2 linked regions of the Alligator mississippiensis genome follow. The protein of the gene in region 1 binds, or shares a complex with, the protein of each later gene. Links are inferred from orthologs where the notes say so. Each region holds a gene or a part of one and is shown on either strand. Other genes may lie near its edges. The genes, in order: ATF2 and MAPK10.

Region 1 (8,102 bases):
AATCCAATCACTTTTAAAAAGACGAATTAGAAGTTGTTTGAGGGAACAACCCCATTGCTTTCAAGTCCTGTTTTGCTGCTTTTCACTCATATTTTTGTTTTATTTTTATGTGAAAAAGCAGGAACTGAATTAATTATATTTGAAGACCTGTCAGATTGGTAACAGAAAACTAAAAAAAACCCCTCTAATTTCTTTAGTATTTTAGTTGCATTTATCTTTGATCTTGCCTGTGAAAATAATAAAGATATGTCTGAAAGAACTGTAATTTCTAGGTTAACAACATCCCACTAATACAAAGACAGTCTGTACTTCAGAATATATATCATTTCCATTCTTATTTATTAAGTTCTAGAATAACATTCAAAATCTCTGGTAAAGATTGGGTTTTGTTGAGCTAGAGGTACAAATAAGTAGGAAAGCAGTCCTAGCCCACAAAAACTTAAGAGTCTACTTTACAAAAAAATGCAACAAGTGGGTGTCACCACAACAGGGAAGGATTGGTGGTGGAAAACAGGTAAAAGTAATATGACCAAACATTTAAGGTGAGTTGTGTACACCACACAGTGCTTGTTCCAGTGCAAATTTTTTGTGGCAACTTTACATGTTAAATGTTTTTAAAGTGGTGTAGGGACAAGCTGAGCTCAGAAAAATCAAAACCAAGACGACACCAAGTGCGAATGAAAGATGCATCTTTCTGGATCCATGCCTAGGTATCCATATGCAATTAACACAAAGAAAAACAGACTAATGTCTTATAATGGAACAGGACCTTGGCATAAGCACACCTGAATCATACCTGAATGACAAAAGTCAGTAGAATACAGTATTACCTAAGTGTAACCTTTATAAGACACAGAATGTGCTGCGGAGATGTAGAAATGGAAATACAACCAAAAGATTTTATATAATCAAATCATACAGCATTTCTGAGTAGGAAACAGTACTCAGAAGATATAGTTCACCTATAAAATCCAGAACAAATACACCAAGAAGTTTATATTACTGCTCTCTGAATCAGGCTATAATAATGACCTATTATTGTGCAATATTAACTACCCAAATATAAACTCATCAGTGAACATGGTGACTCACTCCACTTCTCCAAAAATGTTATTTCATTAATGTTATTTCTGTAATTAATGATCATATTTGCCAATAAACTTTTATGGAACAGGGAACCCCAGTAAAGTTTTCTTTGGACCAGGTTGCAGCGAGACCCTTATATTTTGTAATATGCTATGTACCCGCATAGGTACTTAGCTTTACTACTGTGACTAGTTCAACCAAAATCAATGAGACTATTCTTAGTAGTAACCTTAAGCAGGTGCATAAGTGCATATAAATGTGAGTAAGTCTCTCTAAACAACCTGTACAAAACATCCTTCAATAAATGGTTCAAGATATTATATTCTGGAAAACAATTACGGAAAAAATGACCATACAGAAGCTTTCTTTCTTATCCCATCATTTAAATAGTGATTTATGCTCTAAAGCAGTGGCACTCAAACTTGTTAGACTCAAAGCACCCCTTGAAAATGTCAGCTCTTAGCCTTTACTTGAAAAGGCCAGAAAAACAGAATCATTATTCTATTTCAAAGAACTGAGAAAGACCAAAACAGGCCAAAACGTTTAGGACACGATGGGTACATCCAAATGAGCACAGTCATATGGTATATGGTGCCGCAAGCACATTTGCAGCACCACATACCATACAGTCCAGCATTCTTTGTGCTGCAAGGGTGCACTGCCTGAATGTGCGCTGCTCCATTTTTTTTCATTGTGGGGTTTTTTTGACCCCTAGATATCCAGGGGTAAAAAAACAAACAAACAAAAAAACCCAGAAAAAAACTTGAAGCAGTACATGCTCAGGCAGCATGCAGCGCAAGGTCCGCTACCAAACTTCCATGCACAGCTGGACTCGCTCTACGAATTCTTATTTAAAAACCTCAAGGTTTAGCTTATGAATCACTTGTAGATACTTGCATATCTAACCATGCTTGTATGTGGCAACTTGAAAAGTATCTCATGGTGCCCTGGTTGAGGATCACTGCTCTAAAACACAACAATTTAGAACTCAGATCACAACAATATTTTTCATTAGCCACATACATGATAAGTCCAACCTAACTTATTCAACTCAAATAGCTTGAAGCAATAAAGTGGGTGCTTGCCACGATTCATTCACAGGAGCATGGGAAGGAAAAAAACAAGATTTGGCTAATGGAAGGTCGAAGGCCGCACCCAAAAAGCCTCATTTATTTAGAGGACAAAGATAATCTTGTGTGTGTTAACTGGAAGGGCAAAGAAAGAGCAGAATATCTTTATTTCAGAAATGAATGAACTGCTTGAGGAACAGAGAAGTGAACCACCCGTGTGCAATGGGGCAAGTCCCTTTCGGGGTCAGGGTTGGGGGTGAAGAGGTTGGGGCAAGAAGGGAACGGGAGGCAGGAGGTGTGACAGCTCCAGCCCCGCAGCTTGCCAGCCCAGCAGCACAGGAAGCCTGAGGGAAGATCCGCAACGTGGGAGCACCGCAGCTTGTCATCACCCCGCCGCCGACCCCAGCTCTTGCAAGAAGTCCCCGGGCAGAGCGGAAGAGAGCGACACCTCGCAGAGTAGCGGGGCGTCGGGGCCAGGCAGGTAAGACACTCACCGGCGCATCCCCCGCAGGGCCGGCCCGGCGGCTCCCGCGGAGGGCGCAGGCCCCCACCGCCCGGCGGATGCAGGTGAAGCCCGGCCCGGCCCGTCCCATCCCCAGGGCCCGCAGCGCTTCCGGGTAGGGGGCGACAGGCTCGCCCGGCCCGGCCCCCCCCCGAGCGACCCTCCTCCGCGGGCGGTCGCTGCCCCGGGGACGGCGGGGCAGGGCCCGCGGTGGGGGAGGGGGCCCCTCCGGAGAGCGGCGGCGGCGCCATATTACTACCTCCCGGGCACCCCCGCCTACCCGGGGCCGCTCCCCGACCGCAGACCGGGCCCTGCAACGCCCGCGCCTCCCCGTCGCCTGCGGGAACGAAGGCACCACTGCCGCGCCCGACCCGGCCCGCGCTCTGTTTACAAACTCACCCCCGGAGCACGGCCCGAACCGCACATTAAAGCCCAGGTCCCCCACAGGCTTCCGTCACATCTCGCGAGACCTCGCTGACATCTCCCGAGCGCTGCTAGGGGAGCTGGTCACGTGACACCGCGATGGGCAGAGAACCCAGCCCCTCTCCGATTGGCTGGCGGGGGCTGGGCGCGCGGCGACACCGGACTTGTCTGTGTGGCCGGAAGCGCTGAATGACTGGGTGTGGCTGGAGCTGCAGCGCGTTTGCTGCCGCAAGCTAAGCAGGAACTGCGCTCGCTAGTGTGTGGATGGGAAACCAAGACTGCACCTTTTGTGCTTGAGGCGTTGCTTTTTAAAAATAACAAACAAAAAAACCTTTAAGGCTTAGTACTGAAAAGATAGATTGAGGTTGAGTTCATCAGATACAGCAGGGGCTCCTTTATTCCCACCCCCCAAAAATCACCCACCCTCCCATTCCTATTTAACTAGCCATCCCCACCTTCCCGTCTCCCTCCAAAAGGATTGCTGCATCTTTCTCTACCCTATGCCTCCGTTCCCCCTCGACCTATGCTAGTGCCCCTTTTCTCTCATCACACAGGTTTTGTATTTTCTCTCCAGTGTTAACTGCACCTGTGAATCTTGTGGCCTCTTTCCAGATACCCAGCTTAGGTCTCTGGCCTCCCATCATCACTTGCCTTCCTTTCCCTCTTCCCCCAGCAGTTCTAAGGCAATTCCATCCTGTGACCAAGTTCAGTTTGGCCCCTGGAAATCCAGAGATTTCCAGGGACACCGGCAGCTTCAACCCCTGACCAGGCAGCTTTCACAGAGCAGAGTACTGCCCTATTTGTTTAATACAATGCCAGAGAAAACTTTACATAAAACAATTGACAGTTTATACCTGGAGTAAGCTTGTTGGGTATTACCCATCCTCTCCCTAGCTGCCTAGCAGATACAGCATATAATTTTGTAGACTCCTTGTTCCATTGTGCACATTATCCTCCCTTTCTATAGCCACGGCTTAGTTTGCAGACCTTTGTCTTGCTGGGCCTCCTGAACCTGTACAGCCAATTAATGATATTTCCCTCCATAGAATGAAGTTTCCAAGGGCTGGGCATCTACACAATTACCACTGGCAAATTGCATCAACTACTTTCCCCAGATAGGGAAGCTATGAGGAACACAAAAATACATTTAAAACTTAGGACAAACCCTTTGGGTGGTAGATACAGTAATACAATCAATCTCAAGACAACAGCTTGCGATTTCCTTGTGGCTTCTGGAATATTGCACCTGCAATTGCTCCACCCACCAGAGATCCCCGTGCCCCTCAGTCCAGAATCTCTTTCCCCACATGGCAGGGGCTGTGCATGTATTTAAAGCAAGAGAGAGACAAGGGGCCCTGGGCAAACGTACATCTTATATCAAGTTTCTCATCAGTAGATTTCAAAGTGCTGCACAAGGGAGAGATCAGTACCATTATGCCCCCTCCCCCTACCATATAAGCAACATCAGTTGGCACGTCTAAAAAAAGATGAGTTTGATCTAATGTAATAATGAAATACCATTACATAATTTTGTTTTTTGAAATTTCCCCCAAAGTTTCCATTGGAAAATTTCCCCCAAAGTTTCCAGTGGTGCTGGCTCCTACCCTGGGGGTCTTTAAGGGGTTAGACGAACACCTTTTTCCTGCACCTTTTTAGACGAAGTACTTTTTCCTGCCATGGCAGGGTGTTGGATTTAATGATCTGCTCAGGTCCCTTTCGACCCTACCAAATATGAAACTATATGATTGGACAGGAAACAGAAAACAGAGCAGCAGATCAGGGAGGGGAAAGGGTGCAAAGTAGCACTTGGGGAAGATGTGAGGCTAATTTGTGGCACACTTGTCAAAAAGATTGTCCCCCCCCATTACTCCAGGGCGTGGAATATATCTTAAATTGTATTGAGGGTAAAGCAACAGATTTGTCCTTTTCAAACTATTTTAAGAATTAGGAATACTAGGAGAAAGGGCATATTATATAAGCAGGCCCTTTATATAATAAATCATTATTGATTGTAAATGAGTTTTGAAGGATTTGGACTCTGAGGTAATAGAGAGCTTATGTCTTTCAACTACATACTTCCCGTCTTCCAAGAGCTTAAAAAAAACCTCCTCACAGTGCCAAATACTAAAGGAATGGCATTGAGTATGTTTTAAAATTATTAATCTTATTTTAAACAGAAGTCAGAGATATATTCTCTAACATCTTTAAAACAATGATGCTGGATACCAAGGAGGGTAACACATAGGATAGATTGTTCTAGATATACCAACTTCAGTGCTGTTCCTTTAACACAGTGATTGTCAACCAGGGGGCTAGGGCATCCTAGAGTGCCACAAGATCCTTTGAAGGGTGCCCCAGAAAGTGTGAGGAAATAAGCAGGTAATGACAAGCTCAGATTGCAAATGTAAGAAGATAAACAAATAAGGGCATCACTCTGCATAGCCACATCACCATTCCCATTGTCTGACTCCTCTGCAAGGAGGTAAGCACTGTAATAAATTAGTTTTTGAAGTGGGATGCCAATAAAATCAAAAAAGTTATGCAGAGATGCCTCAAATCTTACATGGGGTGCCTTAAATCTAAAAAGTTGAGAACCAGTGTTCCAACACACACATTTTGGTGACCGTCAGACACAGGCTACTGGGTTAAATGGATAATTGGCCTAACCCAGTATGACACTTACTGTGTTCTTGTTAGGTACTGGTTGTTATCACATGGGTTGCAGCACCAGTTACAATGAACTATGCCCTTCAAATCTAGGCCATTTTGAGACAAGGGAAAGGTAGCTATATGCTCAAGGGCAATGGGGAGAAAACAAGGAACAGGAAAGAAAGAGGGCAGAGAGTGAACACTAAGAATGAGGAAAGGATGAGGAAATTTGGATCCATCCAAAGTTAAAGCTGACTTTAGTGGCAGCAGTATTTCCACTGAGGCAGGGCTGAGAGTCAGTTGACTTATGATTTATTATAATCTACCTGATTCCTTCTAAACTTTTCATTCAACAGATGTTAACAACTCTTTTTTTAATGGTCTTGACAGCTATCCTTTGTTCTGCTTTCTCTTAGGAGCTTCATTAGCAGGAGCAGCTATTTCACAACCCTGCAGATTGTTTTTAACTCATTCCAATTAATTTAAGATTGAAGGAAAAACAAATGCAACTTAATACAGGCCCAGGCCCCTACCATATTAAAAGGAAACTATATGCTTTACTACCAAGAGAAAATTGTGTTTTATATGTGATGATACACATCACTTAGTGTGTACTTTGTACAGGTAGTTTTCTCCAGGAATGACTAGATTATGGCAGGAAGAGATGTTTTTGGAGGGTCAAAGTTAGCAGAACAGTATGTGCATTAAGTTACACCCTTCAAGTGACTGCAAATACTTTGAGCTTTCAAAACAATCATTTCTGAAAGTCTGCAAGTATCTGGCCCTCTGGTTCTAAGCAAGGAAAGCAATATGATCAAACTCTTTCACATTGGTGCTATTATCAAAGTTACTGTTCAAGAACCTCCCAAGCCTGAAAGAGCCCATTTCAAAAAAAGGGGTCTAGAATTTTTGTTCTTGTTAAGTTTCCACCATTGCCCTGACTTCACCATAACAAACAAATTGTCTGTTGCCTGTACGCTGAAGCAATTTGACTTCATGTTTTGTAGCAGCTATGAAGCAATGTTGTCATTTGTAGATTGCTTAGATCCTTAGATGTGCAATAAGCCTCAGCATGTATAAAATGGCAATACTAACCACTAAATCAGACGTTAGATTAGCAATAGAAAATGCTGGTTTTGGTAACAGCTAGGAGCCTTCTTTGGGACTTTCAGTGTTATCTGAAGTCATTACAAATTTCATAAACTTAAGAAATCTCTTTTAGATTTGAAGGCCAAAGTGGTAGACACACAGCATTTAGACTAAAAAGGTGACATGCAGCATTGTGACCAAATAGAGAACACCACTTTTGTTCTGTTCTACATTGTGTGGCTGGAGGTCAGCATATGAGCACTCAGTGTTAAGGGGAAAATCAGAAACAAGTGTCTAACAGTTCCATCCAAAGTGTTCGAATTAAAGATGAAGGTCATAGCTAGACAGTTAGAGATAGTCTTTAATGACATGACTTTGGAAATAATGTACATTTCCACAACACCAACATTTTGAGAGTCCCGGCAAGATGCACAGAATTACATTTGTAATTTACTAATGCCAACATCACAAGCAGATCTCTCTTCACATGGCAAACAGGATTAAGAAAGCAACCATCAGGCAGAAGAGACCCATAGCTTCAGACAGGGCAAATCCCAGGATAGCATATGAGAACAGCTGCTGCTTCAGAGAAGGGTTTCTAAAAGAGAATGCATGAGAGGTATTAAATGCTTTATATTTATGAAGATGCAACTCAAGTATCATTTGATAAATTTAAAAAGTTGTGGTTATGATGCAAGTTTTACAGAACGCTATAAAAGTGTCATAGCAGACAAAACAAAAAAAGAGAGACAAACTACACCTATACAAAAGGTAACATTAGTATCACTGTTACAGGCACTTCATTGAAGACTACATTAAGATAATGTAAGCTACATATCACTAAATTTGATTCTGAAATTAATGTCCAATTATAGAACAACCCTAAATTCCCTTTTATATTAAAAAAATTCACAACATTTTTACACCACTCAATTACAACTGAAAAAGCCTAGCCTGTGTAGGCTTCATGTCAAATATGCTCACCAGGAGAAAGAAAACCACCAGGTAGGGAATATCAGCTCAGGTTTTCTTGTTAAATTCCACTTGTGTACAGTACAGGAAGGAGTTCATTTGCACAACCAGACCTATCCTGAATACCTTTGCAATATTTTAAGCAGCTTGTAAACAAGCTACGCTGTTCAACTCTCTCCCTAGCCAAGATGGCGTTATCAGGTTCATTTGTTACGAAAATGCAGAGTATCTCCCTAGAAAGTATGGGAAGGAGAATATTTAAGTTTTTAATGGATTACCACCCTGCAAGTTGTGATGCAAGAGCGAGAAGT
Region 2 (7,789 bases), on another chromosome or scaffold:
ATTTGTGTAAATGAATACTAGCAACTTTCCATCATGCAGGGAACCAGGGGCATTGTATTGATAAAAGGAAAAGTAAGTGACATAATTATTAAAGTAATGCTTCACTCATACCATTTACTTGTGGTTTTATTTATTTAGCTCTAATGCAGGGCCTGGCTCTGCCATCTTTGCTTAAGCTGAGCTGCATTCTGCTAATAGTCTAGTTCAGGGGTAGCCAACCAACAGCACATGTGTCCCAAGTGGTGCGGGCAACCTTTTTTTTTTGTTTGGCATGTGGAAGACTGGGAAAAGGACATTCAGCACAATGGCATATATGACAGGGAGCAGAAAGCAGAGCACCAGATCAGGCAGGCAAAGGGGATCAGAGTGGCACTCAGGGAGGCTGCAAGGCAAATTTGTGGCACCCCTGCCAAAAAAGGTTGGTCCATTTGGTCCAGTTAAGTCAGTTTAGGTCCTTGCAGAACAAGGACTGTTCAGCATTAAGTGAAAACAGCAGAACAAAGCCCACAGGAAAAATGTTGTAGATTCAATAATAGTACTAGTTTAAAATATCAGATGTGTTTTACTATGGAAGCAAATTAAGTGTCAGAACATCCATATCTAGAATACTGGTGTTCTAGCTCCTTTTTTACATTTTCCTGTTTTCTCTTTCTTTCATTCTTCTTTTTTATAAGTTATTCTTTCCTCTTATTGTAGCTTCCCTGAGCCTTTGTTGGGAAGAGAAGCATATAAATTGAATGAATGAAGAAACAAATAAATAAATATGGACTATCCTTTCCCATATGGATGTCTGCATATATACTTGCCCTGATTTTAGTTACACAAAGAATTGGCACCTTTAAACATGGAAGAACAGCACTGCCATTCCTCATTATGCTTATATAAGCTTCACAGTGTTAGGTGTTTTTTGAAAACTCCAGACATGAGAATCAACAGCTCTAGTTCCTGCATGAAAATCTATTTTTGTTTAAAAAAAAAAAAAAAAAAGTGGGGAGAGGAAGCTCTAGTCCTCCTCCTCCAAGATTGTGGAGAAAAGCTTGAAAACATGAAGCAAGTGTACCCTAAAGCCTCGTACATCAGAGGGCAGTTAAAAAAGCCCCCCACCAATACATTACTACTTTTTTTTTAATTTTTTGTTTTTAACTCAATATCATGATATTTGGAGGCCTTGCTCATGACTTTTATATGCAGGGAATTAGTAAGATTGAAAACATTCCTTAGTGCAATTATAAACGTTAGCTATTACTGACTTATCTGAAAACAGTCCTTGCCAAAAGGTGACTGCCTTAGAGTCTCAGCTTTAGGAAACAATATTGTATTCTATAAATCTAAAAGCATAATAATATATAATCTCCCATTATGGTAGATACTGCTAGTTAGGGTTATGCAAAGCTTCGGTCCCTGATTTGATTTGGCCTGATTTGGTGGCCGAATCTCTGAATCTGAATTGAATCCGGAGACCCTTTTAATCTCTCCGAATCGAACTGGAACCCTCCAAATCAATTCGGAAAGATTCAGCAATTTGGACATAGACACAGTTTTAAATGTATTTTTTCCACATATCACAAGGAACCAGGCGGCTTGTGAATGCTGGGGTAGATGGAGTGCGCTTGGCAGCAGACCCAGAAGTGGACCAGAAGCACTTCTGGGTCACCAGGGAGTGTGCTGGGGGCTCCCCCACACCCTCCCCAGCTCAGTGACTGGTGCCTCCTGGGTCTGGGGGGGCACCTGGAGTCCCCTCGCAGCCAATCGCAGAGCCAGAAAGGCATGGAGGGACCCCACAGCATGCTCCCCAGCGGACCTGGTTCACCGCCGAGCACATGGAGACTGCCGCCCCCACCCCGGCGCGCTCCTGTGGGACACTTCATCTGCCCTAGCATTGCAGCGTTCACAAGCTGCACCTGGTACCTTGAGGTATGTAGAAAAAACATCTAAAGCTGTGTCTATGGCTGAATTGCCTATTCTCTGAATCAGCATCTGAATCTTCAGATTCAGAATTGGCCGAATCGAATCAGGACAGTGGTCCAAATCGAGAAATTGAATTACAGTCCTCAATTTTGGGCTGAATCTGAATTGAATATGGCCCATTTCACCACCCTTACTGCTAGTGTTTTGGTGGTGGAACAGGTTTGGCAGCATCATTAATTTAGGGTAATTGCTGGATTTAAATGTTCAGGTCTAAATACAAAACAATGTGGAATCCACTTAGTTTGGAACTTGGAATAATAGAAAGTTAGGGTTGGAAGGGACCCCAGGAGGTCATCTAGTCTAACCACCTGCTCAGAGCAGGACCATCTGCAACTAGATCATTCCAGCCAAAGCTTTGTGTAATCGGGTTTTGAAAACCTCTAAGGATGGAGCTTCCACCACCTCTCTAGGTAACCTGTTCCAGTATCTTACTACCCTCCCAGTGAGAAAATTCTTAATATCTAACCTAAACTTCCCTTGCTGAAATTAGAGAAGTTGCTCAGCCCATAAACAAAAATTGGAAAGATTCATGAGCTATGGTGAGGTGTTGGGTCAGGACCTTGGTATGTCAGTGCCTCAGTAAGAGGCATGGTTGATGCTCACATAGACATTTCGGAGCTGTCTTTTATTTAGCTACTGTATCTCATGACAGATGACACAGCATGGGTTTCAGCTGCTGAGCAAGTGCCCAGAGTTTTTGTACAGCCCATGCTGCTATGGTTTTGTAGCTATTGGTACCCAAGCTACATAAAATATAAACTAGCCCCGGCATTTCTACATCAGGCGAATGTGCCTCTGATTCCTGTACAGATGTACATTGGGATTCCCTCTTTTCTTTGTCAGCTGGCAAAAGAGGAGGCAAAGGGGGTTACAGTTTTCATACATATAGCATGTAAAAAATCCCAAACTTTATTAAAAGAATGTCATTTAAGTTTCAAAGGGCATGTCTACATGTCACCCTATGGAAACATAGCACCATGCTATTTCACCATACAATGCACTATGACAACGTTGCGATCACATGGGTCTACATATGATCACCTACTATGTCTCCATAGCAGTGCACTCCCCACTTACAGCGTGCTGCTACGGCCACGTAGTGGGAAAATTGAAGCATGTGCCACCCATATGGCACAGTACCTGCCTGTACGGGTGCCATGCTTTAGTAGTTTTTGAAAGGAAGCACTAAAGCACAGCAATGTTGCCATATAGCGACATGTAGATGTGTCCAGTCTAGCACTCAAGTTTGATAATTTGGCCAACCTTATTTCCACCTTCTTCCTCTCTCCTGCCTTAACTATCCTGTGGATTGAATGAAACAAAGGCCCTGTAAGACCTATATAAGCACATAATTACAGGCTATGTTATGGAAAAATTAATACAGGCAACTGTAAATGTGGCATTGGCTAACTTCTGAATGCTTAAGTATACAGCCTTACCTGCTTAGTTTTATTTTTTGTATGAAATTTCTTATGTTTTATTAAATATGTCCTGCTATTTGTCTTTTGACAATCATCCCATCATGCATCACTAGCATGGCTTGCACCTTGAAAGTGCAGCACAACAACCCAGCATTTTGTTGTTTGAGCTACAGGGCAAACTCTGTCAGCTGGATAACAGAAGAAGGCTCTAGTTTCCAGTATCAGGATGTGGCCATGAGCTAGATGTAAGGGTGTAGAGTTAGTGGGAGCCCATTGTGGCCTGCCCATTGCTCACTATTCCCTAGAGTGATGGATAGGATGCTGGAACCATCTCAAAAAGGAATAGCTTGGAGGGCATGGGTGCATTTCAACCTGGCTGTTTGGACCTTTTATCATAGCAGAAGCAGGTCAAGTGTTTCCAGAGTGGTGTGGCTCATTCACTTGAGGTACATCTAATGTTTTCCTAAAAATACAAAATTCCAAGTGGATCTAAGACAGTAAAAGATCTGTGAACTGTATCCCACCAGTTATAACCAGGCATACCAAAATTCTGGAATTTCATGCATCTCTAATCTTAATATCCTGGCATCAGTACCTTCCTAAGAAGTAGTTTATAAGGATAAGATTAAACAATTCCAAATTTTATAAATTGAGACAGATCAATTAATCTCTCCCTCATCTAAAAAAGCCTAAGGGTAATAATAAGATTTCCAAATCATCTGAGGAAGAACAGTAAATTCACATTTGCTCTACATCTTAATAAAATTAGCTTATTGAATAGCATTATAAATATCAGACAAATGTAGAGATATCACAAATCAGTCACCATATTTTAATAGGTATTAAAAATGCAGCTGTGAAGTCTCACGTTTAAATCAGCTTTTCTTAAGACAGAATTTTATTTCAAAGCCCACTGTCTTAAATGGTTGGTTGTTTCTTTCACATAAATCTGAGAATTTGAGATTACTGAAAAAGTCCTAATTTCTTTCCTTATTGTATATTTCTGGGATTTTTACACATAACTGTCTTAGCCATGGAAAATCATTATTTGATGGCAGACTGTCACAGAGCACTGAGGTGCCTTGCTCCCATAGAGGGGAAAACTGCTAGGGAAGAAGCCCTAGAAGGGAATAAGGAGCCCAGCTGTGGGTTGCCAGGGCAACCAGAGAAGGTCAGCTGACCCTAAGGGGCAGGGCCTGGCTCTTATAAAGCCCAGGAGCTGAGGCCAGAGGCAGTTCCCTGCCAGCAGCCAGGAGCTCTCTAAGCCATGATGCGAGGAGAAGCCTAACTGCAGGTACAGCTAATGGCAGCTCTAAGAGGCTTGAGCAAAGTTGTTATAGACAGGCGGCTTATGTTTAAGTTATAGCCAGGAGGCTCGAGTTTGTGTTGCTGTTTGTTACACTGGTGGTGTGGGTGAGGCTATAAGGGGATGGAGGAGGCCTCATAGAGGACTCACAGTGGAGTGTGAGGACCCCGGCGCCAGCGGGTACAGCACACGGGGTGCATAGACCCCAGCCCGAGAGAGGGACGTTTGAGAAGCCCCAGGGCGGGTGTGGTGAGCCCCTGAGAGGGGGCAGCTTTACTGGGAAGCCCAAGGGTGGGCACGGAAAGCCCCAGGAGGGGGCAGCATTGTAGAAAGGCCCCAGAAAAGAGGGCACAGAGTGAGAGGGGGCCGGAGGGAGCCCTAGCACCAGAGGGAGTGTGCAGTAAAGGAAGGAAGGCCCAGGGAGAACAGTAAGGGGCCAAATAGCAAGAGAACTGAGACAACAGCGATTCCCATCAGCGAGGTGTGGACTGCGGTGTAGGGGAGGAAATGGAGCCACAGATAGCGCCCCCTAGCAGCGGGGCAGTATAAGGGCAGCCTCCCGCTAATTAATAGTAATTAATTAAGATCAAGGCATGGCAGGCAAGTAGGCGGGCGGTTGCCCCAGAGACAGGTGTGTGGGCCACATTAAGGGCGGCCCAGAGCAGATACCTGTCACAGACATGGGGCATGTCTCTACATGCAGGGGCATGAGTTGCCCCTGCACAAATAGCAGTGACACCTTTTTGTGCTTCTGCTTTGTGCCCCTGGGCATGCTCCAGCATGTGCCAAAGTGTCCCGGGGCAGGGATGGGGGGAAGTGTGTGCTTAGGGGAACCTAGGGCAAGCACCTGTGAAGGTTCCAGCAGCTTTACCTGGGATCATGGGGGCCTCCTGGGGCAGCAGTGGTGCCAATCCTGCCTCACAGAGGCAGGTGCTGCTGTGTGCACCATACCACATCACTTTTTTTTTTTGGGGGCAATTTTGTTTGTTTGTTTGTTTGTTTATTTTTTGACACCAGGATCTTTGAGGCACTGTAAACTGCATGTGCATGCTCATCTGGATGCACCCATGGAGTTTAGCTGTGAAATTTGTAAGGAAGTAATGATACAAAATGGTGACAGATGACAGAACAAGGAGCAATGGTCTCAAGTTGCAGTAAGGGAAGTTTAGGTTAGATATTAGGAAGAACCTTCTCACTAGGAGGATAGTAAAACACTAGACTAGGTTACCCAGAGAGGCTGTGGACTCTCCATCCTTGGAGGTTTTTAAAACCTAGCTAGACAAAGCTTTGGCTGGAATGATCTGGTTGCAGATGGTCCTGCTTTGAGCAGGGGGTTGGACTAGATGACCTCCTGAGATCCCTTCCAACCCTAATTTTCTATGAAAATACTTGGATGGTAAATAAGTATTTGATGGTATAATATTCTGCCAAAAAACCCAACCTTCATAGAAAGGATATGTGGCATTGTTGATAAATAGTTTATACAAAAGTATAGTGGTTACAGTGTTTTTATTAGAGATGATGAACATGGGAGAAATCCCCAGATTTGAATGCTTCTTCCCTCCTTCTCTTGCCTTTTCCATGGAAATCTCAAAAATTAATATTTTCCAAGTAGTTCAAATTAAGTATAATATGTGAGGGTTTTTTTTATAACATGCACGTGCGCACACACACAATAAGAAATGCATGTGATTTATAAGATATATTTCTTATCTTGTGTTTGTGTAATATATATTATACACACATGCATATATGAAAAGTTAATATTAAGAGTATAATGGAGAAAAAACAAACAATTTTCAAGTTTTTATTGTCTTGTCTTTACATTCAGGCTCTCTAGCTGATGTTGAGTGCTCTCCTATATTTTGATCTGTGTTCTACTTCTCATTTTATCTTGTATTATTACATATTTTGGTTATCTCTTGCAAGCCATCCTGAAGTGATGCATTTCTTTGCAGATTTTTATTTGTTGTTCTTGAAACTTGTGGAGCTATCTTCCAAGACTAATGAACTGAGGTTGTCTGGGGTCTATTTTTTTTTTTTTAAATCAGCGTGCACTTTCAAAGCTTTGTTTGTATATAATTGTATTAGCAACTAAAATATCTCTATATGTAAGGGTACCTAGAAATGTATTCATAGTGATTCACTTGGTTCTAAAACCAAGAAGTCAGGGTTTTTTAAATAGATAATTAGGATTGGAAGGGACTTCAGGAGGTCATCTAGTCCAACCCCCTGCTCAAACCAGGAGTATCCCCAACTAGATCATCCCAGCCAAGGCTATGTCAAGCCAGGTTTTAAAAATCTCCAAGAATGGAGATTCCACAACTGATCTGGGTAATCTGTTCCATGCTTTACTACCCTCCCAGTGAGAAACATTTTCCTAATATCTAACCTAAACTTCCCTTACTGCATCTTGAGACCATTGCTTCTTGTTCTCTCATCTGCCAGCACCTGAGAACAGTCTAGCTCCATCTTCTTTAGAATCACCCTTCAGGTAGTTTGAAGGTTGATATTAAATCCCACCTCAAACTTCTCCTTTTTAGATTAAATAAGCATAGTGACCTCAGCCTCTTCTCAGAATGGTTAGACTCCAGCCCCCCAACCATTTTTGTTGCCCTCCACTGAACTCTCCAATTAGTCCACATCCTTTCTGTAGGGGAGCAGGGGGGCCAAAACTGGATACAGTACTCCAGATGGTCCTCACCAGTGCTGAATACAGGGGGGGGGGGGGGGGGAGATCACTTCCCTGAATCTACTGGCAATGCTCCTACCAATGCATCCCAGTATGTCATTAGCCTTCTTTGCAACAAGGACACACTTTTGGCTCATATTCAGCTTACTGATCACTGTAACCCCCAGGTCTTTTTCTGCAGAGCTGCTGCCCAGCCAGTTTGTTCACAGTCTGTACCAGTATATGGGATTGTTCAGTCCTAAGTGCAAGACTTTGCACTTGTCCTTATTGAACTTAATGAGATTTCTATTGGTCCAATCCTCCACTTTGTTGAGGTCTCTCTGAATCCTAGCCCTGCTGTCCACGGGATCTACTACTCCCCTTAGCTTGGTATCATCCACAAACTTGCTGAGGGTGCACTCC

The links.
Region 2: the proteins of ATF2 (region 1) and MAPK10 are in contact, whole or in part, in a crystal structure (PDB 4H36), measured with the Homo sapiens proteins. The link is inferred for Alligator mississippiensis from reciprocal best matches to the Homo sapiens genes ATF2 and MAPK10. Residues at the interface, in NP_001243019.1 of Homo sapiens: Lys48, His49, Met51, Thr52, Leu53, Lys54, Phe55; in NP_620448.1 of Homo sapiens: Asp150, Ala151, Gln155, Met159, Glu164, Arg165, Tyr168, Val197, Lys198, Ser199, Asp200, Cys201, Trp362, Glu367.

What each region holds. Positions count from the first base shown.
Region 1 is NC_081827.1:209,822,379-209,830,480, reverse strand, and holds the start of ATF2 (cyclic AMP-dependent transcription factor ATF-2), read right to left. Parts: upstream 3,156-8,102; 5' UTR 3,058-3,155; intron 1-3,057. Other genes in the region: ATP5MC3 (ATP synthase F(0) complex subunit C3, mitochondrial), read right to left, coding at 7,303-7,417. UniProt on the Homo sapiens protein: Transcriptional activator which regulates the transcription of various genes, including those involved in anti-apoptosis, cell growth, and DNA damage response.
Region 2 is NC_081825.1:149,719,755-149,727,543, reverse strand, and holds the start of MAPK10 (mitogen-activated protein kinase 10), read left to right. Parts: upstream 1-4,645; 5' UTR 4,646-4,683; intron 4,684-7,789. UniProt on the Homo sapiens protein: Serine/threonine-protein kinase involved in various processes such as neuronal proliferation, differentiation, migration and programmed cell death.